2 linked regions of the Lepisosteus oculatus genome follow. The protein of the gene in region 1 interacts with the protein of each later gene in a pairwise test. Links are inferred from orthologs where the notes say so. Each region holds a gene or a part of one and is shown on either strand. Other genes may lie near its edges.

Region 1 (16,278 bases):
TAAGAAGTGCCAGGATCATTTTGTCTATACTCTATAATAATATGCAATTAAAATAAAAAGTTCATGTTTTGTGGAGCCTCTAGTTATGGGTCCTGTAGGTTTGCAAGATACCTTTTTAATAATGTACTTTTGTTTACATCTGAGTCACTGAAATTGTACATTGAGTAGACCTCTACTCATTTTAGTTTCTTCTAGTACATTTTCAGTCAACATTTCAGCCTACAGGATCCTCAACAGTCAGATATGAGAGAGGTATAGGAACATCTTCATCTTCATTCAGGTTGGACCTGTGAATACAAGTGTGACCCAATTTGCAACTATAATGGCTATTCAAAATCATGGGCAGGAACAGGTTCAAACATCGGCTATTTTCCTCGATTTTACTCAAATGTCTAGGTTTTCCCGTCTTTAAAAGTAGACCTATAAACTGGAATAATGCAGTTTGGAAAAAAAACACTACTTGTTTAAATTTCTCTCTCACAACCTATATCCACCTTTTGAACCTGACACCTTGTTTGTTGGCCTGGAAAAAAATACTAGGAAAAATTCACATTTTATCCAGCAAGCACTCTTTACAACTTAGTAGAGGATTGAAGGTGGAGGTGTTATGCAATATTAATACAATTATACAATATTAAATTTATAACTGAATTGGGCTCACAATGTCTCAATTTATTCCCTCCTCAGATTCTCTCTCAAAGTAATGTGTATTAGTTTAATCAGCAAGATGTTTATATACAGGTTTTCATACCAAACTGAATGTTATACAAAAGAAAAAAATCCTTGCAATTAAACAATTTCACCTATAGAAATGTTAGCAACTTGGATGATAAATATGAGTTTCAGGCATTCTTGCTTTAGGTAAAGCCATTTCATGTGCTTTACTGAATGATAATTCCAGATCAGATTCTAATTATGAAATTCTGCTTTCAAAAATAAATCCCTGCCATTGATCATGGCTGCAGTTCTGAAATCTAATCGTCTGTGATTAACTTGCGCACATCGGTTGTGGGATTATTATTGTACACTATAAATAGGGCCAAAAGATATGACCTTTTGATGAAAGACTGGGTGTAAAACATATTAAACGCGTTTTAAAATACGTACAGTCAATGAGATCTTTTCCAATACAAGGCTGTTCATGTAATTGAATGTGACATCTGTTGGTGATTACATTAAATCATGGATTCTGCATATGTTGTTAAAGCTTTCCATATAATACTACTAAACATAAAAAACTACATTTAAAATCTTTTAAATTGCCTCATAATCTGTTCAGTCACTGAGCTTGAACTTCACTGAGCTTTTCCAGGATATCCCTGACAAAACCCAATGAAAGGTTACACATCTTTATGTTTTCAAATTCATAATCAAGTAAAAAGGTTCTTGCTGCTAACATGGACATTTACATATTTACTGGATTAACCTCCAACATACTCAAACTGTAACACCAGCAAGATGATCTAACAAGATAGATGCCATCATCCTGGATCATTTGCTCCACAATAAACACTTAGTATATCCAAAAATGAGAATAGTTATTCATAAGTGGCATATAGATCCAGACCATTTATATATTTCTTCTTTCATATCTGATATATTTCATATTTCATGTAACACAGAACTTGTCATACTCTCCATGAATCAAAAGTGACAGAGCATATAGAGTGGTTGTTGATGGAATAGTTAATGTGTTAAGCATCAATTCCAATTTAATTAATCTTAGAGCTTATTGGTAGTCAAAAGTAACATTGCTGTAAAGAACTTTAAAAACATTCATAAATCAGCTGTGTTGCTATGATGTCTTGGACTTGTTTTTTGGTGGAACGGGCTGAACTGATTAGACCACGTTTCACATATTTGCCCTCGAGAAGGATACTAGATACAGGAGTTGACCTTTCCTACTGCTTCACCACCAATGGTTCCATTCCAGAGCACTGGGTGACTTCCAATTCTAGCACTGAACTCACCAAAACAAATAATTCTATCTCCCTCAGGAACACCAGGAAGGCCAGGGTTCCTTGATTGCATTGTCAGTACATACAGTAGATGCTGATGACCGTGACATAACAACTCTCAGGACTTCGTGATCGGGAGTCTTAAGGTGCTCATTGATTTTAATAGGAAACTTATCAGGATGGTTTATGAGTTAATTTTTTATGCCAAAACCACTTCAGCATTCAGTACTACTCGTCCTGTTATCCCTTCCCGAAGACAGTTTCGCTCCTTCACTGCTCTTGAGTTGTCTAGTTTCACTCACCAAGTCTCACTAAGGGCAACAAAGTGAACCTCACATCACCTAAGTTCCGGGACCCAAGTGCTGGGCAACACTCTTGCCATTCACTATCAATGCTATCTATGAAGGTGATGTTGAAGGAACCAAAACTGATTCTGTGAATTCGCAGTTTTTGAGAGTGGTTAAGGGCCAGACAACATTTAGGGCACCTTTACTAGCTTTCTCCCCATGTAGGGTGAGCAGAGCGGATTATGTCATTAGTCATTACCACACTTCTCTCATCCAAGTCCTGGGCAACTTTCTTGTAACTTCTGCCTTTGTGCATTTATGTCCTAGCGTTCAGAGCACTGTCTAGCTCTTGTCTTCACAAGATGATGCCTGGAAGGATTTATGGAATTATTGTTCCAGTGCAAAATGACTGTGCGTGGCCTTTTCTTCATTAGAACAACTGAAGAAACTTCAGCTTCCACAGTTCCCAACAGAATAAGACCTTTCTCCAAAAAGCAAGGAGAATAATTTGACATCTCATTCTGCTTTCACCGCCATAGAGACTCTAACATCATAGAATCACAATTATCTTAACGCCTGCGTTTATTCAGTTTCAATATACTCTCCAAACAGCCACATAGCCAAATTACACTAACCAATGCTACCTCAGTTAAAACGGACTGTAAAACATTTTAAACAATATCTAAAAACAAACCATATCTAACTTTTCCTGAAGTAGAGAGGTTAAGGTAATTTTGACTATTGCAATGGTATTACAGCTTGCAAAGCTGAAACATTTTAGATAAAAGCTTTATTAAAATTATTTTCTCCCAATTCCCTTCTAAATTCCACAGTTCAGTTAAATGTACACTGCCTCTTTCATCTCTACAGTTGTTAAATTCTTAAATTGTGTGGTGGTGAGGAGTGTAAATTATCACTGTCCCACTCCATGCTTGTGAATAGACCACCTGCAGTATACATTTTTACATCTTGGATCTTAAATCCATCTTCCAGTATTTATAAATACCAAGATATAGTTTGTGGCATTTTTGCTTTCATGAAAATTATATTATTGTAAGGACTGTTCAAAATGATTTACAAGTAGAGAAATGCCTGTCAGAAACTAGCGTGGTTATTAATGATCTACATTACAAAGCATTGGACATTTTCAGAAGTCACTGGCAACATAGATGAAGAATACCACTAGTCAAATTAAGCCTAAATTGGTATTGCAGCTGTATAAATTATTTCATGAATTGGATGCAATTTATTAGAAGGAATTATCTTTTTTTATTCATTGATTTGCCAATACTAATTGTGTGCCTGTTTTAATCATGCAATGAAATAAAAATCCATGTGTTAAAACTTCTGTTACATTAGAACCCATAAACATCATAAAAGGTTGCATATGAAATTTACTTTTTTTATGTGGCAAGTGAACTGAACTCTTTCGTTCAAGTACTGACTAATCAACTGCATCTTTTTTAGCTGTCCTTCAATTTTACGTGTTTAATCGCCTGTCAGAAATTATCATTTTAATGTCCAGCCAGAAAGCACAATCCAAATAATATAATAAAAAATGTTGTATCTAACATACTTGGCAGAACTGCTCAAGGACAGTGGTGGAACCAACAATAACAGATCTTCTACTTCTGAGGTGCAGCAAAAGAGGGTTTTAGGAGGATGCCAGTGGTGAAGGCATTATTGAAATGGACATCAAAGAAAAGGACACAATTATCCATATAAAGAAAAAAAGAGATGCTAGGCTACTGACCTCTTGCTTGGTTTTCTTGTGTTCTTCTTGGAGTCCTTCATACTCATTTATAGCTGTGGAAGCAAAATGAAGAAACTGTTAAAGACTGAATCACAATTCTGGATAAGCTGAGAGGAATGTAGGATGCAGCTCCAATTTTCTGAAATGTGTTCTGACCTTGTTTTTTTTTATTTCTTTAGAAATATCAATGTGGTGGAAAATGATTGTACCCCTGATGAAGCCTTGACAGAACTATATGTCTCATCTCGTCTGAAGGGCAAAGTCTCCATCAGTTCTGAGTATACACACATAAAATAAAGAGGAGTGCTTCAGAATGCTTTGGGAAGTTGAAAAAAAGCAATGTTTGAGGAACACATTACAGGGCTTGATCTAAATTACTTTTCACAAGATTGTTCTTGCTTTGGACTTCATCTGATACAAATCCTTTCTGAATCTGTTAATCAAACAATCACATTGACTGCTGTGTTTGAACATTTCCTATTGCTGTATTTGAAAGCAAGTATTACAATGAAAATGTCCCCTAACTTACTGAAAAACAAAGGTATAGTGGGGAGACACCATGTTAGCATCTGAGCTACAAAAGAAGAACTGGAGGTTAATTTCCATAAAAGTAAAACAAAAAAGTAACTAAAAGTAATACTAAAGTACTTACTAAATACTAATTAAATATTAACACCTTGGCTGTTAAACTCGACTGTGTTTAATCTTTCTTTTTACTTTTCATCATGGAATAAACTAGCCAACTATATCAGTAGGTATCAAAGCTCTGTTTGACATGAGGTATATTTCTAAGAGCTCTGCTTTGTTAAAAACAAATGTCTTCCTAGCATAATGGCCAGGCAATGACTTCAATGGTTTCTGGACTACCACTGGACATTTATAGTGAGCACTTATGTTTGCAAAGCATTAATACAGCATGCCATTATTGGAGACATTTACATTAACATAAAAAATGACAGAGGAATTTTAATTATTTGCTTGGTTACTCAGATAATAAAAGTAGTGCTAAGCATTCTAGTATCTTGTATATTAGTGCATGTACAGTATCATGTGCAGTATAATGAGGTGCAAGATGTCACTTTTATAAGGACATTGTCACTGTTTTCTAATGCTTCTACTTTTATAACACTTCAAAAAGGACCCCCAGGCTATACATTGATATAGTGAGGGTCCAGTACATGGTGATTATAATACAAAAACTTTTAAAATTGTGCCAGAGATCAACAACAAATCACAGATTTAATGCAATAACAACACTTTCAAGTTCTGGCTTGTTAAAATAATTGACAACATACATTTTACACCTTAATAATACAGACAAATTGACTTTTAATGCTATTGTATCATTTTGACGTGGTGCAGTAAAACATCAGTAATCTCCAGGGAATGCTGAAGGACATCAGCACTTCAAACATGCTAAAAGACTGTAATTAACACCAACCTATTCACTTTAATGAGGACTGTTTGCATTATGGCAGCTGGCCACTTGAGAAGCAACTTTGTATAAAAGGATGAGGTTGAGCAAATGCATTATTTTAATGTGTAATTTTAAATATGACACAGGATGAGATTCTTAGCCCTCGCACCATAGTTGTTGATGGAGAAATTAAAAGCTTTAAAATGCTTTAGAGGGAGACAACATTTATGACTTCATGGTCAATTGATAAAAAAAATGTAGGGCCCCATATTTGTATTTGCTGAACATTAGAGCTGAACATGTATTGTGGTTGAATGCTGTTTGTGTGTTTATGGGGAAGTGAGGAGTGCTTTTTGTGATTAACAATCAGCAATTCGTCATTTCAGGACAGCTCATCATAAATTAATCTACCAAACTCGGAAAATTACTGAGGCTCACACTGGGAAAATTGTGCTTAGTCTATTAACTTTCTGAAGGAACACATCAAACACGTTGCCTCGACAACCCCTATGTGGCCACAGATCTTGAGAAGTCATTTCAGGCCCTATTTGTATTAAATGTGTTAATTACATTGTAGCATCTTTCCTTGACGCATTTAAGATGATTTCAAAGACTAAAAGCATCACCATTAACTATTGAGCAGGTTTCCCATCCCCCTTCTTCAATGAAAAGTTTTTTTATCCGTCTAGGAAAGCATATAATAATAATAATAATAATAATAATAATAATAATAATAATAATAAACAGGACCCGTTAATCATTACTGTCTTTAAACTTACATATTACTATAAAAATATTAAGGATGGTCATAATAACTAACAACAATACCAATAAAATATATTGTTAGAAGTAAGAATGTAGTATTTAAAGAGAAATGTTTTTGTCGTTTACAGCTTGGAAATAGCATCTCTCTGTAACTAAAGTCCGCCAGACGTTTACCTGTAGTACCCATCATTGAAATTTAGACATTGTTTTACATAAATATTTTTATTTCCAATAATAACATAGGCTTAATGAGTAAACATCTAGAGTGTGGCTCTTCTCAATGAACCCGGTTCAGTGATTTGTCTTAGGTTTCAATTTCGCTTTGAAAGTTGCCATGTAGATTTGTGAAGAATTCTACCTGGTTCAGTCAACGGCCCCTGTCTTCACATCACATTTAAGGCTTCCCATCTGTTCTTAAACATAAGATTCTTAAGAGTCTGTTCCGTTCGGTGAGTGTATGAAGTTTCTTTTTACACTCATCGGGTCAGGGGAGCATTCCGTAAACTTTCATAAAAATAAAATGTAGGTACCATGTTCAGCAAAATACGTTGTCTCTAATAGCTTACCTCGGTTGGATAGCTGTGTAATAATCTCCATTTGCTTTGTTTCCTCCACATTCGCCATTTGAACAAAATGTGAAGATGTACCGTCCCGGGACGTTGTATTTGATATGTCGTATACAGACACCCTCAGTCTAACACAGGAAGTAAACTCTGTACTCACCTGGGCCGTTCAACATTATCCAAGCCTACGGGACGTGACGTTGGCAAGAATTTCTTGAACTCCAGGTATGCGCAGGTACTACTCAGCTGGGCCAAACTCGAAAATGTTTTTCTTTCTTTGCTATAAAATAAACTCCACTGTTAAACATACTTCGTTTTCCTTTTATGAAACTAATTACAGCTTATATTATTTCTGTATTTAAAATAACATTTTTTTTTTATTTTCGTTTTCATACACAAGACGCAAAGTATTTACTAAACGGTTTTATTTTTTGCCAAAAGCGTAGTGTCTACTAAACTTGTCACGAGTTTTGCTTGCTATGGCCTAAAATCAGTTGTTGTAGGTAGTTTGAGTGACGTCACATCGGATTAAAATGGAGCTGTCAGATTGTGGTGGAGTGCGTTTAAACTCCGAAATATTGATTCCTGACATTACTTAAATTTCCCATGAATGTAATAAATTCACTTTTGTCTGTTGCACGTTTGTTTACGTTATGTCTTTGCATTTTGCAGCTAGTTAAAACAAAACCTATCATCAATCTTAAGCGTCATTAAAAACACTCATTATGAACCTTGGAAGGTTTAGAGGCATCATTCACGATGCATAAATCACATATTTACTTAACATGTACTCTACTAAACATAGCAGTATTCACTTGCTTGAAAAAATGCAGTTCGTTGTTCCCTATAAAATTGTATAGACATTTAATCACTCAATTGCCAGCATGTAACTCCATGAGTATACAAAATCTGAATGAATCAGTTGATGAATCAGTTGTGAGAAACAAAATAAATCATATTTAAAAATGCCATAATTCTATTTTAATATGTATTTATTAACTGTCCAATCATAGGAACCAGATAAATTGAATAATATATTTTATATATACTAAAATTAATGGAGTTATTTGTGGGTGAAATTATACAAGAAATAGCATTCTTGGCTAAACACCCATTTATTTATTCATTATTCACATTTGCATTACTTTATATGCTCCAACTTCAGTAGTGTAATTGGTTCTTTATAAGTGATGCAGAAGCACTCAAGTGTTCTTTAGCAGGGTGCAATAAAAAGGCAGAAAATCGAAAAAGGAAAGTGATGAATGTCTGATCCTTTTTGTCCCGCTTGCACAAGACATATCGGAGATACTATAGTAAATAGCATAATGGAGTTGGAGAAATATTCTAAGAATTTTATTGGTAGTCAAACACAGAACAAAACACAATAGGAAGTATATTGTTCACAGTACACATCACATACAGTGCAGTTATTGTAAACATAATTTAATTTAATCTAGATTGATCACACAATTGTTTCCAGTCACAACAGAAGCCAAAGGACAAAATAAAGATTGTCATCATGAATCAGACTAAATATAAATTCACAGCTAGGAATACAACTAGCAGTGGTGTCAACAGAAATAGGCATCAAATGCATTTCATCCTGTCTTCAAGCTTGTTAAAAATACAGTTTTTGTATATGCTAATCAATTTGCAGAACATTCAGTTAATTACAACTGTATGTTTTTTTAAACACATTATTTAATAGCATAGTATTTAATAGAAAACTATTGAATTTCTGCTATTTGCATGAATCAAGCATTGCCTATTCCTCAATGTTAATCCTGGCTTCAACATAGTCTTAACTGGGCTTTTTATTATGTTTTATATGATGTATGTTTTGACATTTTTTTATATTGTTTTTTATCATGTTTTGATTGGGCTCATGTAAACAAAAAGTATTCTGAAATAAGAAAGTTTTTGATAAAATGGTCAAAAGCACAAGTGAACAGCAAAAGAAGGCCCCATTCAGGCAGGAAAGATCCAAAGAAGACAAAAAGTCTAATTAAAAATCAATTCTGCCTTGCATAGATGCCAAAATACCTGCACTCACTAAAGGCAAACACTCCCTGCATACAAGTAAATCAAATACAGCACACCTGGTTGAAGAGAAAACACTCAGCGCTTTTTATAATACAGACCTGGAATGGCCTTGTTGCATGTCGGGTTTTGTGAAAAACATGCACACATTATTTAACAGAGCAAAACATTAAAGCAACATGTTTCATCAGAGGAGGAATGAATCTTTGCTTTGCTTCAAAATCATTGCATCCAATCTACCTAATTGTAAACCAAGAGGGTGACATCAGAACAGATTTTTCAAGAGGAATAAAACAAGACATAAAACCACATTCATTTTTTACCCTGTCAGGATTGTCTTCTGTTTTCGAACATAACTTCATATTTCAGATTTACCTCTAGATACTTAAAAGTATGCAAATAATCCAGACATTTATTTGAAAGTTATTCAGAAATTTACTACAGCCATTTATTTTTAACAAGGACAATGACAGTACATTGTTTTTAACAAGGACAATGACAATACATTTAAAATGAAACAGGTAAGGTTATTGCTATATGCTCTATTGAAGATCTTAGGCCTTCTCAATGCCTAGCAGCAGACTCCCTGGGGTAGAACTCTGCCAAGGTAGACTGTGGGATTCTCTTCAGCATCTCCTTGGGGAAGATTCGGAGCAACTGCCACCCAATATCTAAAGTTTCGAACACTGTTCTGTTATCATACGGACCTAGGGCAGATCAAAACGCAAAGAATTACTACACTGGCAAAATTACTGAAAATTTCCACCTGACCTTTCCATGACTCATTCTTTGATGACCACAACCGCATATCGGTTTCAGAGAAGGTATCTTGCTCTCTATTGTGTTTTTCTGCAGCAGAGATCAGTCAAGACACGGTTTTACTGAAATTATTTGATCAGTCTTAGTCTTCATGTCAAGGTAAAACATGATTATTTTATCATGTTATTATATACACACTCTTTCAAACCCGCTCTTTCTCCACACTGTCATAATTCAGTGGAAACACATAGACGTATAGGAAATTGACCAACTACATAGCCTTTGGCTCTTCTTATATACTGGGAGTTTCAAATCAGAAAAATACATTTCAATTTGATGAAATTATGAAGAAAAATCTTATGATATTTTGGAAGCACCCTTAAAAATTAAAATATTAATAAGAATCTAATAAGAAATAAAGTGCTGTACTCCTACCCTTTAAAAGTGTAACTATATACAGTATGACTCTGATCCAAGAAAATCTTTCCCTTCAACAGGAGTATGTCAGTATTGGAGGTTATCTGCTTTATACACTCATTAAAAATATTCATGCATTCTACTGACATAGAAAGCAGTAACATTCTTATATACTGTAGTTGCTAATTAACTTCTATATTTTCTAGCAGAAGTAGGCAGAATTTAAGGTGAAGATAAAGTAGCAGCATGTGAACAGGAAAGAGACTGCAGAAAAATCCAAGAAACAAATACAGACAAAAACAGGCAGGAAGTGGATTTAAAGCATTAAAGTGACTAATACTTGCCAATGACACTCACATGAGTAAAACGAGGTCTGCAAACATAATCATTACATTGTCTACCAGACAATCCTTTAGAAAGGACGAGTGTAGCTCTAAACTTACATTTATTTCACAACAGAATTGCAATTTTAACAAAAAATGTCAGAGTGATTAAGGAAATTCAAGTTTCATGCAATGTAGAATTTACTCACTGTACAAGACGATTTCAGTCTATTAGAGGTGAGAGAACCATGACAGGAGACTTGTATTATCTAGTCTGTCACTGATTTCCCCCACACCAATAAATCTTGCAACCTGTCATATTCTTACCCTGAGCAATGAAGTTCTTCTCAAACTTCTGCAGAAATTCCAGATACAGCAGATCATCTGAAGTCAGGGCTTCCTCTCCCACTACAGCCTTCATGGCCTGGACATCCTTGCCAATAGCATAGCAGGCGTACTGCAGAGAAAGGCGTTCAATAAAGCAAAGGCAACAACTGATTTTGTTTTTATTCATGTCAGAAAAATGCACGTGATACATCTTTGAATGGTAGCACTCAAAAGCTGGGTATAGTGCAAGGCCATAAACATTTAAAAAAGTGCCTTCAACAGTGTACTGGTGAGAAAGAAATAAAGAAAATGCCTGTCACATTTAGTTGATTAAGCTTAAACGTGTTTTAGACATCTGTTTCTGTCCTTGAAAGTGTTACTATTGGTTTTATTGTTGTTATATTTGTGATTACAAACTATTTCTACAACGAAATACATCTAGTAACTTTCCCTGCTGATAATATGCCACAGGAATGACCTTGGGTAGAATTGTTGGAATATTTATTTTGCTCAGCTGTAAGGAAGATTCCATTATATACGTTTACAATATATACATTGGCTGTCATGTGGGCTCCAGGTGTCCTTTACTGGGTTATCCAAACACCCCAAGCTCTAAGACTTCCAAGATATTTTCCTTTTTTAATTTCAGGTTCCACAAACCCACAACACCCATGTAAAGTGGGGTTCTCATTGTATGTTGGGGTTAGGGGCAACAAAAGTGCTACAAAAAATATAAGAAACTACTTATATGGGCCGTTTTACGAAGTAGATTTAACAAATTCAACTTAACCCAATACCTGAGTTCAGGCTTACTCCAGTTTCACGAAGGCAATCTCTGGTTTCAGTTGTCATGTTAAATCTTAAGCAATCTGATTAACCACACATTAAGGGGAAGTTAATCAGTAGGCAGTAGGGTTGAACACTGAATTGTGCATCCTCGCCAGCAAAAACCCCAGCAAAAGAACATGTGTCTTAATCCAGTGATCATGCATTACAGCTCCTTATGGAAAACTATGAGGAGGGCAAATCTGCTGTAATAGGGTAGCTTTTGCAAAAGCCAGGGAAGATTTCCGGCAAAGAATTGCCAATAAATTGAATGTGGACAGTAATTATGAAATCAGATTAAATATATTAAGGTAAAACTTCAAAAGAATTGTGTGAACATGCACGTGTTGTCATTACTTATTTGATAACAGAGGAAACTTTCTGATGACCAAAAAAACTGTACATTATGAACTCAGTCTTGCATCTAACCCGCTGTAGGCACACACATGGTGTTTAAAACTTTTGATGGAAATGATTGATTCATTATCATTTGTGTATTCAACGTTCATATGTTTTATGCTAGGCAGGGCCTGATGCTGTGAATTGATTTTCTGTGATCAAAAATAGCTTCCTGTGCAGTCCAGAGCACATATTACGTTAGGAAAGGCTGGAAGATCAAGGTACTGTACATAGCTATAGAGAACAGAAGCTACATGTACACTGGATAGATATATGAGAATATTACTGGCTATTTCACAAAACCCTAGTTTGACAGTATTCACTAATGTAAAAGAACAGGTAATGGGTTTATTCCATGCTGAAAAGAAAAGAAGCTCACACTCAAAGAAGACTCCACTGCCGAAACGTTGTGTTTCCTTTTTTCTCTTTTCAACATGGAATGAACCTTTAACTGTTTCTTTGCAGCCTATGCATGCTGACACAGCTACCTACTTAAACTACTTCACTCATGTAAGGCTGAGAAATGTTACAAATACATGCAAAAACCAGTGCAAACACCACTTTCCTTATTGCATGACACAATGTCTCTTTACCGAATGCCTTTGAGTCAGCAATGCAGTAAAAAAACTGCACCAGTCACAAGGAAATTCAGCCCTGGGCACAGAGTTTGACTTTCTGTTAATGCTGAGCTATAATGAGTAATATGTGTTAACAATATATGGCCTGAAGAGATTGTGAATGTAAAGTATATCCTGTATCTTTTAAATACAAAATATGAACAAACTGTAAAGGGTCTTGGTGATCTCTAAACCTTTAATTCTCTCCGCAAGACTCTTATGTATTATATATTAACTCGATCCCTGAAGAAAGGTGATGTCATTTTTTTGCAGAGGACTGATGGGTCTGTGGGTTGAGCTCTTAACCACTAAGTCAGGCTAACTTTAAATTAACCTGCTTAACTGGGTACAATTCAGTCTTGCTTTGTGAAACCAAAATCCAGACACTTGACAACATATTCACTCAAGTTAGCGAGCTGAGTTATCTTTCTTTGTGAAACTGCCCCATAATGTGGAATTTCCCCTCCAAGTTAAGGGGTGAGGTAAGAATAAGGACTTAATTTATGCAACGTATGTGGGGACAGTTCTCCTATTAGAAACAATGAATTATTGAAGACAAAGGGTAAGGTCTTTAACTCATAACAACCCAAATATATATAAGGACTGATGCAACACTGTACTGTTTGGTCTAGTATACAACAACTTCTGATTTTAAGGAGTTTTGAACAGTATTATTACTTAAGAAAAACTAATTGCAAACCATTGCTATTATGTAGTGTCCAATATGTGACATTTTGAAAACATTTTTGCAAACCTATCACTCATTTCTAATTCTTTTCATTGTAACTTATCACTGAGTGGCACTCTGGTTATAGTTATTTTGTCTTAACCATTAATTTCCTCAATAAGATTGGAGAATGTGCATTGCAAATAATCAGAGTGCATGGTAGCAACAACACCCTGGGCCATCGGCTGCATGATGATTGTTGTCCTCAGTGGCTTAAACATGTTCTTCATGTTTGGGCAAAACTATTAATAATTAATCGTTGTGTGTACATTAGTACTGTCTGAAAGTAAAACAAACGATTTTTCCCCCTTTCAATAGTTTTTAGTGCTGGAGCCAAATAATGAAAAAAACATTCATAGAAATCCTGCTTGGTAATCCAGGCATTCCAATGCAATTCCCATTTTACAGGAAGCCGAGATTTACCAACATTGTGAAGTGCCCAGAGGTTCACTTCTGTACATGAGTGAAAGCTTCAGTTTCTTGTCACCATTGGAGTTGCCTCCTATTTGAAGAGTAAGCTGTACTTTCAAAGCCTCTGGAAACATTTAAGATTAACTGACCTTTATCTCCACATTCTCATCTTCTTAAGGATTATTGATGAGTTTATTCAATGTTTTATCAACTAAAATGGAATTTGTTTTCAACTAAAATGGAAAACAAGTAAAACCCTTTATAGACAAATGTACATTGTATGAAAGCATTACCAGTTATGCAATTTAGCATGCACAGCATCACTCTCTTAAAATACACAGAGAAGCTCTTTACCAGTTGGTTGGAGACATCAGCGTGGTCTTTGCGTGTCATCCCTTCTCCAATAGCTGATTTCATCAGTCGAGACAGAGAAGGCAACACATTGATAGGAGGGTATATCTAAGGGATGTAGATTTAATGTTGGATTTTTAGTTTTTCTATTGTGAACTATTATCTGTTATCATAATTAAATCACATTGTATCTGAACCTTAATATCTGTAATGATTTCATACACACCTTAAAGGTTTTGTGTCCATGTTTGTTTGGACACATGTCAATAAAAAAACATTTGGTATTTAACCTGTTGTTCAGGGATTGGCATAAATAATAAAGTCTGATAAATTCAGCTTATAAAATTGAAAACAGAGAAAAGTATTTATGGAAATATTATATAACTAATGAAACAATGATGACAATACAAAATGTTCTAAAAGTTTTGTGAGTGCTATGTTTTCAAGATCATCTATTCTATCCACATGTTTCTCATCCTTTGGTCTTAAAACCATTCCCTGCTATAATATTAAATAATTTTACTAATTAAAAGGTATTTGTGCTATGAACCTCTTTTTAGAGTAAGTGCTCCTCAAAGGAGGAAGATCTTAAGGAAATGGTCTTGAGATTGAGAAACTCTGATCTATCCTGATCTATCCTTTTTTCGCACATAAAAGACAAACATCTTCCTCCTGTACCACATGAAAAACTTACAACCCAAATGATTCTGCTTAGTTACAGGATTCATCTTGCACACTCACAGCTGAATTTGTCAAGAATAAACACTTTTTGATATGTGATATTTTTATCATTTTTCTAAATTAGAAACAAACCAGGTAGTGAAGAGGAACAATGTCATAATGTACTGTATTAAAAATAAACCATAATAAGAAGCACGGTTTTGTTTCTCCAGAAAACACGAATAAAATCAACAACTGCTACATGTGGGTTTATTTTTACCTGTCTATTGTGCAGCTGTCTGTCAACATAGACCTGTCCTTCAGTGATATAACCCGTCAAGTCAGGAATAGGATGGGTAATATCTGTGAAATAATTGGAATGATAAAGGCCAATTACATAAAAATGCTGTACATAGACTAAAACAAGGACAACAGTATGCAGACATTTGGGGTTTGAAAATATACAGCTATCTTTTCTCATTGGTTATTATGATGTGTATGCTGCTAAAGCACACGAGCATAAATTAAAAGAAGCAGAACTCATTTACTAGAAATGATTCATAAAAGAAGACACAAAAAGCGACATCTAGTTTCAATTTTTATCCAATAAAAAGATAAAATGAATCAAATTATTTTTTGCACTAACAACACAATATAATCAAACTTAATGCAAGATTATTTTATGCTATTAAGTTTAAAATGTGGATAACATTTAACACTTAATGCACTTTTTGGACTTTAAGTTCAGACCAAAACAGTTCCCGGACAACAGTCACAGACTGCTGAGTGGTAAGGAGAGGCACGACTGGTGGTGATCTGACAATTTAGCATTTTCATTACAGATGCCCAAGCCGAAGTGGCACAGCATGGATTGGAACAAACATTTTATCAGGTGAGCCACTTCTGAATGGAGTCTGAATGTCACCTTTAAAATTTCCCGAGAATCCTCATGGCTGGGACAGGACATGGTCATTTTTTGGATGCAGGATGTACTATGCAATGTCAATAAAGTACAATTTTATTTCCTCCACTTCACTTCCTACTTACCATCGTTGGGCATTGTAAGGATTGGGATCTGTGTGATGGAGCCATTTCTGCCCTCAATTCTCCCAGCACGCTCGTAGATTGTGGCCAGGTCGGTGTACATGTAACCTGGGAAGCCTCTTCGACCAGGCACCTCCTCACGGGCTGCTGAAACCTGAAACGAGCAACACGATATCGCAAACTACACTTACAACAAACATGAGGCCAAAAACAATGAGTCACAAAGGTTAATCATGAATTCACCCCAAAATCACTGACTAAAAATTACGACACTGTGATGCCCTAATTTGGAATTCACTAAACAGTTAAAAAATAAACACGTACATCAGCTTTAGCTTAGTTTATGTGCTGCCTATAAAATTAAACTATATTATAAAGTGACAAAGACCAGTTTATTTAGGTGGCCTAAATACAAGATATCTTGCAACGATTTAACAGAATGTTTTGGCTTGTAAGCACGATAAGTTGTCTAGAATTACTAAACAAAGGTTCAGATCTTTTCCACCCACTTTGGGAATTACAGCACTAGACATATGGTGCTTTGCAGAACTATTCAAACCCTTCCCATTGTGTCCAATTTTGTGAAAAAACTATGTATACACATTTTTGTAAACTTAGTATTTTATTCAAAAACA
Region 2 (17,172 bases), on another chromosome or scaffold:
TGAACAAGCTCATTCTAACACAGTTCACACAATCTACTGCACCTACCCTGGCTAAAGGACTCATTTATTACAGCAACAAGCTTTGCTGTCTGTAATCATCTCTGTATCTTCTGATAAAACCTACTGCTTTCGCACGTTCACCCAATCCCTCTTCTGGGTCTTACTTTTATCCTTCATGGACTTTATTCTTGCTGGTAATAACTTGCATTTTTACATCCCCACATTCCAACCAGAAGGATCCCACAGAGTTTTACAAATTGGATTTTAAAGGCAAATCATTTAACACTGTAACAAAACATGAAATGAGTATTTTAGATAGCTTGTTTTGTGCGGGGGTTGTCAAAATGGTCTTAAAATAACCATGTGTAATCGATAATGTTTTGAATCAGAGATGGGCAGCGCCAGCCCCCCATGGTTTCAGGGTCTTCTAGTTTTCAATCTGCAATATTAACTACTTGAACCAACTGTTGGGAAAATCCATTGCATATAAGGAATTTGTCCTTTCACATACCCCAGCTTGCTCTCCATGAGACAACACAGACAGGGAGAGAAGCTGGGGGTCAGAACGCAGGGTCAGCCATTTATACGGCGCCCCTGGAGCAGTTGGGGTTAAGGGCCTTGCTCAGGGGCCCAACGGAGTAGGATTCCTCTGCCGGCCGCAGGATACGAACCGGCAGCCTTCCACCCACAGGTGCAGATCCTTAGCCACAGAGCCACCACACCGCCCCAGGATTAATCTTAAATCCAGCATTGCTGGAAGGTCATTCTTGCTATGGACTGCTGTCCCATTAATAAGAGAAGCTCTCCATTTGGCTTAGAGTGGTTCAAACCGGGATGAGCTCCGGCATGGATCTCACCGTTTTGTTGCCCACTGAGCCCGAGAAGCTACAACAATTTGTATCAAGGCCTGAACGAGCTAGCTGTTGAAAACAAATGTAGAGTTGTCTGAATATACCCCTGCCTATATCATTACCAAACCAGTCCAACTGCTACTGCTGTGGGTTTTTTTTAACCATCTGGTCTTGTTTTTTTCCCCACAAGAAAAAAATACAATGATGATCCTCTCGTTTGCATGTTTGATCAGGTTCATTCCCTTTTTGCAGCGGAGTATCAGTACAGCAGGTCAAGCAGCTTGTTCACAAAGCTGTTCCAGCAGAGCCCCTGTCTGATCGTTCCCTCTTGTCTATAGATCTAATGAATTTCCTGGTTATTGAATAGTGGGTATAATTTTCTCCTGACAAAGCCTCATTGCAAAATAGTTAAAGAACAATACTGGTAAAACAGCACAGACTTCCATCCAGCATCTTGAGTTTGTATAGTCAAAAAACCACACTGAACCTATAGGGGTGGTTTTCATGCAATATTTCAATGTGGTACTAGAACATAAACAGGCAAAAAAAAAAAAACAAGTTCTTTAGCCTTCAACAGAGGAGAATTGGAAGAAATGTTATCAAAAACTTGGAAAACAAAAACTGGCTACCATCCTCCAATCAGTTAGCTACTAGCAAACTATCTATGGGTGTTGTCTTCCTGGCAGGACCTCTTCCAGGATGGGGGTGCTAGCCCAGCCCTTGGCAGGGCAAACACACATAGCGAGGGTTTAGCAATGCTAATTAATCTAACGAGCAAGTCTTTGGAGAGTGCAAACTGGAGCACTCAAAAAACAAAAGTCAAACCAGGGGAGAGCATGCAAACTCCCACCTGGAACTGAACCCACGTTTCAAGAGCAGTGAGGGAGCAGCACCAGCCACCACACTGCCAGGCTGTGCGCATCCCAAGGGCACAAAGCTGAACTCAAGATGGGAAGGATCAGCCCATATCCAGCTCCAGCGTTTCGTGCAAACAGTGAAAGAAACAGTACCTTTCATCCAATTGGAAGGTTTACTATATCCAAATACAGTAAAACTTACACACTTAAATTTCCCCCATCCCGATCTGCTCTCCCTACAGAGCTGCCTACTGTTTTGAAGTTTTATTTTTGGGCATGTCGATAGTCTCAGCTCCTTTCCCAGCAGGGTATTTCAATTGTTTCAGCACAGAGCCGAGTTAATGACAGACAACCACAATTTTCCGAATATAGACAACTTACTCGGAACAAATCTCAAAATAACTTTAATTTCATATCAGGGATCTAGTGGATTAACTTGTGCCACACAGGAAGGCGCGGCGGCTTCTGAATAATAGACCTGCTGGCAGGATCTTACAATCTGTTTTCAGAAGGTATTGTTTGTGGCAATAACCACAGTGGTAATTAAGAGTCTAAACAGAGACACAGACACCAAATTAGAAAAAGCACAAGCTTCCATAGAAAGGAGTAAAATAACTGGATAAGACACAAACTGACATTTTGCTCTGAAGGACACTGTACAGTTATAACAGATTAGCCCGTATGTTGAAAATTTTTTTAGCACAACCCAGGAAATGGAGCCATATAGTAATGGGCACTCTATCCCACACCCAGGATGCAAGGCAATGGCTAAACATTTGGCCAGGAGTCACTGAGGACAGTCTGGTCGTGACCTCAGCCATACACAGAGCCAATCAGAAATCGCGACCTTGTCTACACATGGTCTCTTGCAAAAGGCAAAGGGGTGGCGCCATCAAATATTAACTCTGCTGGAGTGTTGCCAGAGCAAGGTGTGGCTACAGTGTAAATGATCATTCCAAAAACTGGACGTCTGCACACTTGACCTTACTCTGTGTAAATAACACAACTGGGCGGAGTCTAGATTAATATCGATAGCGTGGAGAGCTTCATCCTGTTGCATGCACAAGGGGCATTTATCTGCTAATTAAGCAACCATTTGACACCTTATAAAAGCCACCATCAATTACTGCCCAATTGAAACTTTGTTAGATGTTAACGGGGCAGTTAACGGCATATTGGCAGACAAAGCTTAAAAAAAACTATCAGACCAGTCAATGTTAAATTTGGGTTCCTGGAAGACAATTCACCATGTTTATATGTGAAAACAAATGCATGAGGTCACAATGTAATACTCACTAGTAATGTGCATGTAAGAGCTCCTGCCTTTTGATGAACGTGCAGTTTTAAAGCTGCAGGAAGACGTTCTTCAAAAACTGTGGCTCAGACACCACTTGCACATTCAGCACTTCTGCTCTGGTAGCGTTATGAGTCTGGTCATCAGAAGATGCAAAGGTGTTGAAATTTAACATTAAGGCAGAATTGGATAAATGAAACATAGACCTTAGCTGCACATACTGTATGCAGGGTGTACTCAAGACCAAACCAGCTCTTCTGATGAAGCTGACCCACTCATTGGGATACAATAACCAGCTGCATGAGAGTCTTGAGTTGAAAAGCAGCTGGCAGTAAAATGTGATACAGGGAGGTTAGCTTGTTCGGTTTGTAAATGTGTTAATGGCCAAATGATTTTTTGTTTGTTTTGTTTTGTTGTGTTATTTGGATCCACACCTTGAAGGTTTTGCAATGTCATGCAGACCTGTCAGGGTGTTCTCAAACCCCCCTGAGAACTGCTCAGCCCACCACTAATTTCAGAACAGGTTTTCTGCTGTGGCTTTCAAGTGCATCGTTTCTCCCCAACATAACCCATTAATGGACAATGACCATCCTGCAAGAATCATCAGTCTCACTCAAGATAACAACAGCATCTTCTTAAAGTTAAAAAGGCAACTCCACCAAACATGTATGATCAGGTTAAAATATCATTTTTATTCCAGTCAGTTTGCAGTGTATTCTTTTAGGCCATGAGCGGCACCATACCTGTAGCTGTGAAAACTCAGAAATCCGATTTGATCGCAAATACTTACCAAATAACCCGCTGTTGAAGAAAAGGAGGTGTGAAAGCACTTGGAAAGGAACACACAAAGACTAACGAGAGGCAAATAAAGTAAGCACACTCATCTATCAGCTCATGTAAAAAAAACGTGTCATTCCACTTCAACAAAATGCACTGTTGGCACTTCGGCTCTTAAAGATACAATATATTACTTACTGCATTACTCATCCGTCGCAAACTATCAAATCATTTACACAGGCATTAAAGGATGGCCACACACTGGAAAGTATCAGAAAGGCTGTGTGCGAGCACATAAGAAAATAAGGGCATTCCGAGACCAAGCCCAGGTTGTTTCAGTGCAGATAAGAAACTAAACGCATTTCATTTAACAGGTAACAGGATGAAGGGATATCTGGCTTCCGAGCAAAGAACAAGCACTATTTCTGTACGAGGTAAATACACCCCACCTGCTTTTTAAAAAAGGGAGGGGGTGGGAAAGCATGAAATGAGGGTCAAATCAAACAAGGCAAAACGTAGAAATAAATGTCTTCCCCCTCAAAACTAGTTCACTTCAACCACACAAAAAAAGGACAAGCCAAGGACATGAGTGGGTTAAACTCTAACTGGACTCGCATGCTGAACCAGCCCGATTCTGACCTCTGGGGCACGCAGCATGGGAAACTGAGGTGTGCCACATGACATAACGCTCAGCAGCACCACTGCATTGAACATGTAGCAGCACATGTCCTGCTCTCAAGAGTAGAGGAACGTGTCCAGACCGTAGCCTGGGGGAGGGAAAAGGTGGGGCAGCTGTTCAGCTCCCCGCTAATGTGCTGAAACACTTCTTCCTCAAATGAATGCCCCCACCCCCCCCCTTGTAAATCAGCACTATTTGAAGTGCATGCCGGAGGACCGAGAGGACTGAATTTTGCACACCCAGCTTGCCACTTCAGACATGCTCTCTGCTTTGGAAAGTGCACACGTACATACGGGTGCCCAATGTCCACCTCTCAAACATAACCTCCTAATTCAACAGAGAGTGGTGTTGCATCACATCATGGTTTGCATGTCTGCAAAATGTTAATAGAAATGGGGAGATTCTTTTAAGACTCATCTCCATAAAAATGGGAATTTTACAGCAGTATTTCTTTCATCTGCCTCACAGCAGGCAGTGCTTCATTTATCTCCCATTTATCAGTGATGGGTAAAATGCTTACATTCTTATGGCTGGCAATGTAAACTGATCTTTCCCCTATTGGCTGCCTGTGCTTCTCCATTAAATTCCATCGCCAGCTCTTAATTTTACCTCGCAAATACCAAAGATCACCTTTGTGGTCGCCTTACCAATTTTGGCAGATTTTGTCGGGCTCGTGGGTGGCTCAGCAAGAGTTAAAATGGCAGCAGTTTTGACAGCACCTGCGCCCGGCTGAATCATCCGACTGCAAGACGTGCATTATGCATGAAAGATGAATTCCAATCAGACGGAGGACTGCCGCTTTGCCCTAGGTCTCTCCGGATTCACTCACCAATGGCTTTCATGTAGTCATCAAAGTTCTTGCTCTCCTGCAGATTCCAGGTTCCGACGAAAGCCTCAACCATGATGACTGGAGGGTCAGCGAGCAGTCTGCGTGGAGGAAAGAAGATAGCTGTGTCAAACACCGACAGGGAGAATGTGTGACAGAGCAGCAGCAGGAGCGCAGGACTCTCGCCTTTCTACTGGAAGGTTTTATATCAGCAGTCTGTGATGTCAGAGAAGCAGAGAGGGGGTGTGGGAGAGGGAGAGAGGGAGAGAGGGAGAGAGACGGGACGACTGGGGATCAAGCGCCGAGAGCGGCGAGGGAATGGGATTGGGAGGAAAAACGGGAAACAGACAAAGATTTGTCTGCGGGGTGGGGGTGGGGGAGGAGTGGAATAACGCGAGGGGCCAGCGGGAAGAATGAAATGTAAAGACTGAGACGGCGGGAGCGATGGGGAGGAGGAGGAGGGAGGGGGGTCAGGGCAGGGACGAGCGAGTTTGCAGATGCGCAGGCTGGCTCCGCTGCGAATCGATTTGGAAGAGGTCAATGGGACCATCAAGTGCACGGCCTCGCCCGACGACAGGCCCCTTCCCCCCATCTCTGAGCACACAAGGGGGCCTCACAAGCAGAGTGCGTCTAACAGCTGCTCAACAATGCCAATGCTCCACATCGTCTATCAGGAGGACTGCTAAACCTTCTGGTAGCACACTTTTGCATAGAACGTCTTCATGCACAACGGGATAATTTTAAATAAAGGATTTTATCAATGCAATGGTGTTCATGTCTCGGAAATTAAAACGCCTTTTCCCTTAAACGCAAGACAGGAGTAAGACGGTAGCTAACACTCAGAAGACAGATATATCTGAGCATCCTCCTCCAATTCTGCAGATAGTATTTTCGTTATTCACGACACACGTTAATGCTTAAGGCAAGAGATAACAACGCTACACCCTTTAAAAACAATAGAGCTCCGTGTGCCCTTAGACTGTAGTAAAGTGTAAAAATGAAAAGCAAGGAAGCGAATTAAAAGTTCTAATATTAAGAAACTACCGAAGAACTCCTACAAGACAAAAGGTTTATATTGAAAGGTTGGCCGACTTTCACCCAAACTTGTTTTAATACCGTTAAGCACATATCAACCAGGCACAAAAAATGCTCTCAAGATAGATCTCGCATAGATTTAAGAAACGAGCGCTTTGTACTTCCGTTCTCGGGAACGCACGATTTTTCCTCATGATCTACATATAAAGTCTTACAAGTCACACCAAGACAAAACATCCACCCAGCCTATGAGTGCTTTCTTTCGGACTCCCTGGCTTGTGGAAAGATCTGAAGCATTTTCATTTCAGGAGAAATGTTTACAATCATCCATAGCAAAAGCATTAAATGCACCGACAAAACCGTTCATAAACACGTACGACCAAGGGCTCCTTTTAAACCACGCGGTAATGAGCGAAGAGAAACTCGCACGCAGTCCCCGCCAGTATTTTGGGCATCGTGGAAAGCTTGGAAAAATGCGTGGGAATTTCGCACGAGGTGCGGTGAAGCTACAGACTTCTAGGAGATACTGAATTGGATACGATACCGGAATTTTTAAAAAAAAGTAAAATGAGAAATTACGGTTGGAAAGTAAATAAGCTACCTCTGATTTAGCTGACACTGTTTAATCCGACCGGTGTCGATCCTTATGGGATTCGGCTAACGGCCCACTCTGACTGCCGTTTCGATTTTCTGCTGGGGAAACTGCAGCGACCCCCGACGCCTAATTTTACTACTGCAGCGCCGTACCGCCCCCTGCTAACCCTGTATATATGCCTGTCCGTACGTAATGACGTATTAGAAAGATTTACCAATCAGAGTCCACGTTATGCTGTTTATGCGTCATGACGCAGCGAAATTTCTCTTCCGTGCACGTGGGATATAGTTGGGTGTCGCTCGCAAGGGTTTGGGTGGACGTGTAGTTACGGTTTTGTGCAGCAAAGCTTTGTTGGTCAGTGTAACGTACAAGTTTCCACGTGTTTTTTTTTGTCGAGATACCCTTTATAACTTTTGTCTGAGTTAAACATAGAGACAAACTGTGTTGAAGGTGGATTCGTTAAAGTCAGTCTTATTTAACTAATGAATGTAGTGAATTAGTTTGTAATTGGCTGGGAGATAAAGGTGAAAAACAAAACTGCCAGCCTGTTGGGAAAGCGCGCTAGAACGTCATGTGACGAGGGACGGACACTGTATCGCGTTTGGAAGCCGCTGTGGGGTTTTGAGTCATTGCGCCAAAACAAGACAAATACCTGAAAACTGATTTTATCTTTATCTTTGATCGAGACGTTTTCCAAGTTTGGGCACGACTGTTGTTAGGAACATAATGTTCATCTCTTAATTGAGCAACAATAACAAAATGTAAAATACACTGATGGAACAGGCAGGTGCAAAGCAAGAAAACACAAGGGGCTGCATGCCGTGAGCAGCCTACAGTTTGATAACGGGCCTGATTTCCACATTAAATAGCAACACGACAATTACAAGATGTTCTTCAGCCTGTTTTTTGAAAATGCATGTGAAAGTATATGAACTGTGCCATGACGTGTGGTGTGCACAGCAACAGGCTTGACATGACCTATTCTATACTTTTTCACAGCTCCATAATAGTAGTAAAAAAAGTTCAGTACTGTTTTTTACTAAGTGTAACGTACAGTATATGCAATAGCAATTTGAATGAGAATGAAAGTAGAACAATTGTGAAAATAAGAGTTATAGGCAATACCACATTACATAACATTGCACAGTACCACACTTCAATACAGTTAGCAAATGTTTTCTTCCTCAGCTTAGTTAGCGTTTGTTGAGACAAAATGATACTGGTGCTTTTATTACCACAAAAATAGTATAGTTGGAAACTGCATGCTTATTTGAAGCTGAAGTCCACCCATCTCTTCTGGATCGAGATCTCTGAATTAGAAAATCTTCACTCTTGCTCTGGCGTTTTAGAAGTCGCTCCTCCTTTTTGAACAAAGAAAAAAACAAAGAAAGCTGTGCTTCATCCACCTGGTTTTGAATACATTGAAAGTGCAATAGAAGAAGAAAAAAGCTCAAGGCTTTTCTGTCTTCGTAATGCTGAGTCAAAGTTTATTCATACCTGTTGCTAAACATGATGTAAAACACTGCAGTGAAATATAATCAAATCTCCCAATTAAAGGCTGTTTATTGGGCACTTCAGGTGTTAAAGTACAACCACAGCCCAGTTTTTCCAAACCTTCTACAAAATCTTACGCCACCAATCTGACACCTTGCCCAGCCTATGTTTACATTGGAACTGGAGGTCAAAAGAGAAAGGTCCTGCTGTTCAAACCCCTGTAGGCAAAGCTGAACCTCTGACAGCCCTGCTCCAGATTCAGCCATGTGTTGCTACATTCTTAACAGGAGGCAGGCCAGGTGGCAGCCAGACTGTAAATTTTCAACATTGCTTGACGCTTTGCACTGACGTGACTCCCACGTGGTAGACTGGGACCCCAACGTGCTTGCATCCCCTTCGCATGGAAGCCTTGGAAGCTGCTCCAGTTTGTGAAGGTAAAGGAAGACCAGGATGCCTTCTTCATCCCATCTGAGCAAGCTGCAAGAAGACATGCCTAAACCAGCCTTCTTTATTCCATTTGAATGAGAAGCACGTATACATGCCTAGACTAGAAAGAGTGGACAGAGAATCTGCCATCTGATACATAAGCTTGTTTCCACAGTGCATCAGAGAAGAATACACTGTCTTGGTCAAGCAATGTACCCATATCCCCCAAAGCATCTGCCAGCACCTATCTGCAGAAGACTTGAACTCTGGTAACACAAGTAATGAACTTAAGTTGCTTAGTTACATTAGCCTACCATGTGTGATCTTGAATGATTTCTAGCAGGAAGCATCTTACTGGAAGCTGCAAGGGAACAAGAAAAGGTTAGTTCCACACTGAAAAGTAGGATGAAGAAATGCAATGTTTCATCTGTTGAACCTTCTTTATCTGGTTACTCGGCAAATGCACTGACGTAGCTCCCCTCTCTTAACATCGTCCTGCAGCTGCTTCTTCATCAGTGGGGTTTAAGAGGTAAGTATCAAAGCCCCAACCATGCTTTCAGAGGCACACACACTGGTTGAAATGCGTTCCAATTATCTAGAAACATTTGGGCCAAAATCAAGCAGCCAGCTGAAAGACAATAACACATTTCCTGGGCAGATGACTGTTTGCACTTAAGCAATTGTTAAATTCCCTTAACATGTCAAGGGCTACAGCTTCAAATGTATGCAAGTATTGAGCTGTTGCTCAGTTGGTTTTTAAGAATGAGACCAATCTGTTGTGGAAAACTGTATCTAGTCAATTCTACCTGGCAAGCTGCAGCTGCTGTGATTATTACGAAGACACGCAGACAGAACATGGACGTATGAGTCGAGTCACAGTGTATTTACAGATTTGTGCAATGGGGTTGATTTGACTTTTGAGTAATCCTCTGGAGGTCAGCATCTCAATACCTTTGAACAAACAGCACCAACACACATGCTGCTCAGCTTTTGCTGTAGCATAATTCTCTGGTCCCTGTGCAAGTGCTTGGAACTGGGGCATCTAAAGACATGGTGTTGGCAGAGTACAAGCTGCATACCCAGCACATGAAGTTTAGATATCAAATAGGTGTTAGAGAATTGGAATGAAAAATATATGAGCAAGATGTAAGAGTTTTTTTACTTTCTTTAACTAGACAGTATTGGGTAGCAATTAAAGGTCAGCAAAATACTCAGATATGTTGAGAGTATAGAATTACACAATGCATTGGCTAGTCCTCTCTTTGGTGACCACATTAGTAGAAAGATATTGTTGTAGAGGTTGTGTAATGGGACCTAATTCAGGTACTCAAAATTCTAAAAGGTCCTGATCAAGACAACATGGAGACCCTATTTCAAAATCAACAACAGCCCAAGGAGCCTGGGACACAGGTAGCGTTTAAGTTGATGAGTATTTAAAGGCAGGAAACAGTCATCTTCCCTTAACACATTATTGTGAGAAACTAGAGTCATCTTGTAGAGTTGGTAGAAATCGCAGATCGTTTGCCACTAGTATTCAAATGAGCAAAGCTAGGTAAAAGTCCTCTTCTCATTTTTCATGTTTGTATTACTCTTCTTAAGCATTGCTCTGATTGTGTTGTTTGAATGGTATTGGAAGTGTCTGCATTTCAGTGTCAGTTTTGCTTTCACACAACCTATATTTAAATTAACATTGGACATGAGTTGCAATTGACAGAGACATTGGACATCAATAAGACAAATTACCTACAAGCATGCTCTGTGCGATGTAAATTCTCACTTAGCCTTTGAGAGTTATCATCAGCCCATTATTACAAACCACTGGAAATTATTTCAATCTTAATGCAATGTCTCATGCTAAACCTCAAGGTCTCAACCTAAACCTGTCTTAATATTATTTCTATTGTTCTACACAAGCTCTGTCTTTAGCCTTAATCCACATTCGTCCTTATTCCTGATATTCTTGTTCTTATACCTATGTTGTGTGAGTTGTCATAAAACTCATACACCAGATAGCATGAGCCATTTGCATTTAGATCTTCTTTTATTTCAGATTCTAATACACTAATACACTAATTTTCTTATCGGAATTCCTTATTTTTTACAAACTACTGTATTTCAGGGAGTATGACAGATTAGAAATAGCGAACATCTAAAGGCTCTGCTATGAGTAAGGTATTTAATTTGTAATTGTATACTGTACTTCAGCAATCAAGATATAAGAGGATACAATGTGACAAAAAAATGAAACATCATTAGCTTAGATGTTTTGAACCAAACTACCCAATATGTAACAGATGCCAAGTCCATCCTGGAGGCCAGCACAGTGAACTTCTGTAGATCATGAAGTTCAGGGATCTGTGAAAGATGAGACCTGAGAGCCCTTGCACCTGTCACATAGACATCTTATATGGCTGAAAACTAAAAACAGCTGCCAAAAAAAAGGTTAGGCCCTTGCCTGCGGCCATGGCCATGCAAAGGCATTGATCACTCACAAAGCAGCTGTATGAGTCTAAAACTCCATTAAAAAACACACCAGCTATTGTGTGAAGCGCCTTCATATAATATACAGGTAGTAGACAAGAAAGTAGGAAACGCCCATGTAAAGTCACTTAATAGGATTCTGGGCCACCAAATGCAGCCTGGTATGCATGTGTGCATTGCAGCATAGAGTCTGCCAGCATGTAAAATTCTCCAGGAGGGGTGTGGCACCATTGTTGCATGAGAAAGCCAGTCAACACACACCTGATTGGTGGAGGAGTAAAATGCAGTCTGGCGCATTGTGCTGGAATATCTTGTAAATCCTGGATTAGGTGCAGATTTGATGAAGGCCATGACATGTGGCTAACATCACCAAACCTTTCGGGTGGCCACACACCCTCTGCGGCTGGGGACATTGTCATCCTGGTAGACACCTCTCCCAGCAGGAAAGACATTCCACTACACTGTATGAAAATGAATCATTCAGCAACATTGAATGACAGTTAGCTAGGTTTGTCGTCTAAGGGAAGGAGTGCCCACATTATAGAACCACAAGACCCATTCTCTGTTGGAACCAGGCACTCAGGGTTGTAGATTTCCTCTAAGCCTGCTGTTTCATGCACTTGTGTGTTTGTTGAGAACATTGAGAAAGATGATTCATCTGATCATATCTCACTTCTCCACTGTTCAGTAGTACTTAGGTAGGACCTCAAGGTGCAGTGCATAGCTGGTTTTTGAGTAGACCTGTGAGCCAATGATTGTATTATTAATCTAATTAAAGAAAAGGGGTACAATGAATTGGGAGCACAGGTAAGAAAGGCTGTGGAGATATAGTTAGGTGTAAAATTTTGGACACCACAATAAGAGGGAGTGCTTCTCTACAATCAGGCCCGAGACAAGTGACCGAATTTAGAAGGATCATGCAATGTTTTTTTGCTACCAAGGCATGCTCCTGCACCTGCATGTACTGTAGTATTTAGGTCCCGTTTACATTAAAACTATTCTGTACTGTGTAATGCTTCTTTGTCCTTTGCTACAGCTGCTGCACCCCACCAAACATCTCATTTTTATATCACCTGTATGCCCAATTAAGTCTAATTAACATAACAGAGTAAGTAAGATTCCTTTGAGATGTTCCCCTTGAGAGCACATGAAGCAATTCTCAATCTTCATGCATGAATGCCTTGGATTTCTGTAGCTTCCTAGAGCTACTTTTTATGGACCTTTTGTAACAAATGTCAAAAGGAAACCTCTTGCAAACTGCAATATAATTATTTAAAGTTTGTTTACATTGCTGTGTGCAAAACGTGCAAAGACCATTTGTTCTGTTTGATGCAGGATACTCAAGGCATTTTGAATATTGAGCCTTAAGAGTTTCACCTCAACAGCTTTCTCAGCCAGCAAAGTCATCGTACCCTTAAGTACTCTTTCACCCAGTCACACTGCACTGCTCACCTGATATACAAAGTAGGCCAAAGGTCAGTGTTTGTAAATCTTTGACCAGTGCAGAGACAGCTGCAGTTACAGTCTCAGTACCAGCCTCACACGTCACTGTACAAATTTGTCCTGCAGAGGGATTTAGGTCATAGAAATGCACAGAATACTTTGGCACAGACTGCTAGGTGGGGAGGGCAAAAATGAAATTTAATTTCCTATGAAAAATATAGATAATTGGATTCCTCTGTCATGGCATTATCGTTAAAGGTTTGAGGGTTTTGTTTTCAAATTCCAACTACAGTATAACTGCACCATTTGGTGAGGTGTACAGTATGTTCAATCCTGCATACATTACAGGATTGGTAGGATTGATTGACAGACTATGTACAAAGAACTGGTGTGGTTCTTATTTCATGTATGGATGTAGGGTGTCTGTGAAAATCTAGTCATGCCAAAATAAAAACAGAGATGGACACATTTTCCCCAATTCAGGGTGCACACCTCAAGTCCTGGAGGGTCAGAAAGTTTCTGTTTTTCTTGCCATCTCAGGACATAATGAGTACTTAATTGAACTCATTATGTGATTAATTGGACAAGTTGAAGCATTTCCTTGTTATTAAGAGGCTGTATTTTTAAAGAGATTAGTCAAACCTAAAGAACAGAACAGCTCTGGATTTCCACAGTTGATGGTTTTCATCCTAGCAGAGTTATTTAATTGAACCCTTAATTGAAGTTGTAAACTGCTGAATTGAAACTGTTAAGATGTCAAGTAACTTTTAAGTTAAAGGGAGTCTTTCAGTACATTTAAGAGTTGAAAACATTTCGTGCGCTACTCCCATCTTGTGGATCTACTGCAGCATTGCAGACCTGTGTACAGTATGCCTGTAATGTGATATTTTAGCATTATTTCCTGGGATTCTAAAGTATCATTTGGAAAGTCTGGAAAGAGCACAAGCATTTTTCTTTTATTACAAGCAGCTCCTACTCCTACATGTTTCATGGGACGTTTTTGCTTATACAAAGCATAAAACAAGACAGTCTTAATAAGGCATACAGGTGTCACAAAACGTTCTTAAGGACCCTATGCAGACAACACAATCCGGGGAGGAGTGAGGAAAACATGAGGAAAAAAGCATGCTGGAAGGGGCTGGAAGGAAAACAGGGTGCGCTGGTGTCCGGGGGAGGTGTGGCCGAGGCAAACAGTCCGAGGGATTCCGAGGCAAATCCATGAGTGTAGCAAAAGTCCAAGACCGGGTAATCCATCCTGACAGACAAACTGAGCTAAAAGCCGGAGAGGGATCCGGCGGAGGGACGGGGGAATAAAAGGGGGGTCACGGGACCGGACGCTCCCTAATCCCGGACTCAGAAGGTCAGGATGCCGTGATGAAGCCTGTGCCGTCGAATCACTCCCGGACACGCGGGTAGGCGGGCTTCCAGGCATCCATCTTCCAAAGCTGAGCCTAGATTGGCAGGAACATCTGGCTTTTATAGCACGGGGGGCTGGAACTGGAGGCATGTGCGGGAGATGAGTATAAGACAAGGAAGGGCTTAACGGCATCAATTTTCTAACTTCCAATACAGGGTCTCAGGGCAATGGACACAGCACATCTTCGGTTAAAACACAAGAGTTTGTTTAAGGCAAAAACCACAGACCTTGGTGTATCATCAGGCTTGAAAAATCGATTTTTATATTTCAGAAAAAAGACCAATATAAATCTCTCTTTTTGAGCAGGATTATAGAAAGTCATCTCTGACAGCAGTTTCCATCTAGGCTGGGATTTAGAATATCTTGTGGCAACAGCAGTTAGAGTCAAGTGACTCCTGGCGTTTGCTCAAATAGACAGGGAAACATTTGCCTAGACAGATTTTAATACAAGTCGCCAAGAGTGCACACCTGTGCACAAGAGATATTGTCTTGGTTTGAACTGGACCATATATCTGAACTATAATAGAACAATTGGAATCAAATAACCTCCTGAGATGGTTCTGAGACTTGCTTTAATTGCATTTTATCACAAAGCTGTCATTACAAAGTGCCACATTACCAGCGTGTTGTGGTAATATATTTATCTTATTAGAGGTATAATACATTTGTATCAGCCTCTGGGATATGTACAGTTCTCCCTTTTTCCTCAGGATTGGACAGGTGTTACCATAGTGAGTGTAATGAATAGAATATTAATTTCTGGAATTGTCCAGTGATACCTTGTCTACAGGTGTCCTTATCCTCAGACCAGTGGGATAGATCCTTTCCAAAATCGGCAGGATGGAAGAAACATAGCAGGATACAAATGCTTTTTGTGGTTGCAGGGAATAAAAAATGAAAAATCATATCAGGCAGTTTCTTTAAGGGATCACAGAACCATTTTCAACACAGGGGTAAGATACTGTACATAAAGACTGGTTTCCTGGTTTCTCTCTGTCCACCTTGGAATCTAAAGTTGCCCGACACCCCAGTGTCAGAATGCATTTGTCTTCACACAGTGGGACAGACTTGACCACCAGTCGCTCTAGCATAAAAGAGTGGAGGGACGCAGAATTCTGTGGTCTGGGAACACGACACCAGGTAGCAACTTTTCCTTCTCTCTTATATCTTTGGAATAAATGAACCTACTGTAGACAGGAATGGATAATTCCAGTCTTCAAGAGCCAGATTAAATGGTACAGCTGCTTTTAAATGTGACTTTTTTATCCAGATACTTCAATTAAATAATTAAGCATAGATTTTGAATAAAAACCAGAGGATCCTGTGGCTGTTAAGGTCTTGTTTTGGCCATTCCTGGCCTCGATAGAAGTGTATTTATCCACCGTGTTGGAAAGAGGCTGACTCACAGTCTGAAACAGCACTTCCAAAATCTTGTCCTGTCTTGGTGGCCCAGAGACTTTTGGTCTTTAGTCAAATGGCACTCTGTATGCTGTATGAACCGATTGACACACCTGCAGATACACTATCCCTCCAGGAGCAGGGCTGGACAGCCCTGGTCTTACTCAACCCAAACAGGCAAGACTCTGGCAACCCAGGTCAAGCATAGATAAACAGAGAAAGACTTCCACATGAATGTATCTGTTTTATTAGTAAGAATAGATGCCCCTGTGCTCATTGACACATGCCTGGATTTACAATACATCTTTGATAACCTTAGTCTCCACGAAGCACAAGAAAAGAAATACCGGTCAGAAAGATACACTTTTGCATAAACCCTCAGCTAACCAGCTAATTATTCAGCCTGCTTATAAGAGAAGACATTTAGAATCAATTACGTAAAAGTAAAGGAGGTTGCATGAGTAATCCTCAGTAATTGCCCTGTAAGAGTGCGAGACCCCAGGAAACATTCTGCTCCCGACGTTCCTCTCTACACAAGAGGGTAGCTGGCTAAGGAAGCGATCCCACACTGGTTGTGTTTATTTCGGGACATCCTGATGTAGCCGTTTTCTCCCCAGGAGACGCCCCAGCTGGAACACACAGCGCAGTAAATGCATAAAAGGAGTTAGACTCACCAAATATACCAACAGCAGGGACTTATACTACTGAAAATATTGTTTTCCTGTGCCTTGGAGTAGTTTTGAACAGTAACTCGGAACACGTTGTTTGAAGCTTGAGGTCGGGTCATGTGAAAATAAGAATGCTCATTTATACAATGAGTGGTTAGTAATAGATGGAGAAGGATACTGACAGGAAATGTGATTTTTCTATTTTAAAAAGAGTTGATGGAACCTTTGTGTCAAGGCATTCAGTAACATTTTTATTCAATTGTACAGTAGAATTGTATGGCACAATTTGTGGATCGATGGTACTGCATATAGTGTTAGATTTGTAGTATTGACTATTGATTATGTATCTGGTCATCTTAAGACTGTATTGATCTTTCGAATAAACTACAGCTGTGAATGTCATCTTAGTTTTATGGATGGTTGTGAAAAAAGATCTCCTTGCACACGTTAAGTTTGATTGATAGTTCAAAGGATCAAGGTCGTTCAAGAGACCTAAACTCTAGTCCATCAAACTTGCATGTACTGTATCTAACCTTCCAGAAAAAGTGTACTTCCTGCACAGAAAGCCTCTTCCAGCACACATAGCATGCATTAATGTTATACCAGTACCGTTAGGCTCACCTGTTTTTCACAATCCAGTAATCTTTAGTAGACTCAGTCCCATAGCCAACTACTAACACTCCATGATTCAGGGAAGTGGAGCTGCAGCCAGGCTCATCATAGATGCCTGCAATGAGACAGGGACACTTCTCGTTAAGAAGGCAGGATTATATTATGAAAAATTGTCTTGTTTCTAAATAGACTTTAAATGGTGCACATGAGCTAGCAACATTTGTAGTGTGGATAGCATAGTCTAATGCAAATCTCCTTCCTGTTAATAGACTTATTAATATTCCTATTAATGTTTAAGTCTGTTGTGGAGGATGCAGGG

Evidence for each region.
Region 2: the proteins of shtn1 (region 1) and fabp3 interact in binary tests that used the Homo sapiens proteins (3 or more experiments, as listed by UniProt). The two-hybrid records come from large-scale screens. The link is inferred for Lepisosteus oculatus from reciprocal best matches to the Homo sapiens genes SHTN1 and FABP3.

Annotation. Positions count from the first base shown.
Region 1 is NC_090699.1:32,166,546-32,182,823, forward strand, and holds the start of shtn1 (shootin-1), read right to left. Parts: upstream 6,887-16,278; 5' UTR 6,805-6,886; coding exon 6,747-6,804; intron 4,315-6,746; exon of another isoform or gene 4,178-4,314; intron 4,052-4,177; coding exon 3,999-4,051; intron 1-3,998. Other genes in the region: atp6v1ba (V-type proton ATPase subunit B, kidney isoform), read right to left, coding at 9,348-9,490, 10,610-10,739, 13,943-14,047, 14,880-14,962, 15,647-15,797. UniProt on the Homo sapiens protein: Involved in the generation of internal asymmetric signals required for neuronal polarization and neurite outgrowth.
Region 2 is NC_090706.1:10,134,251-10,151,422, forward strand, and holds the start of fabp3 (fatty acid-binding protein, heart), read right to left. Parts: upstream 7,035-17,172; 5' UTR 6,921-7,034; intron 5,526-6,920; exon of another isoform or gene 5,386-5,525; 5' UTR 5,361-5,385; coding exon 5,288-5,360; intron 1-5,287. Other genes in the region: procathepsin L-like, read right to left, coding at 16,103-16,202, 16,863-16,968. UniProt on the Homo sapiens protein: FABPs are thought to play a role in the intracellular transport of long-chain fatty acids and their acyl-CoA esters.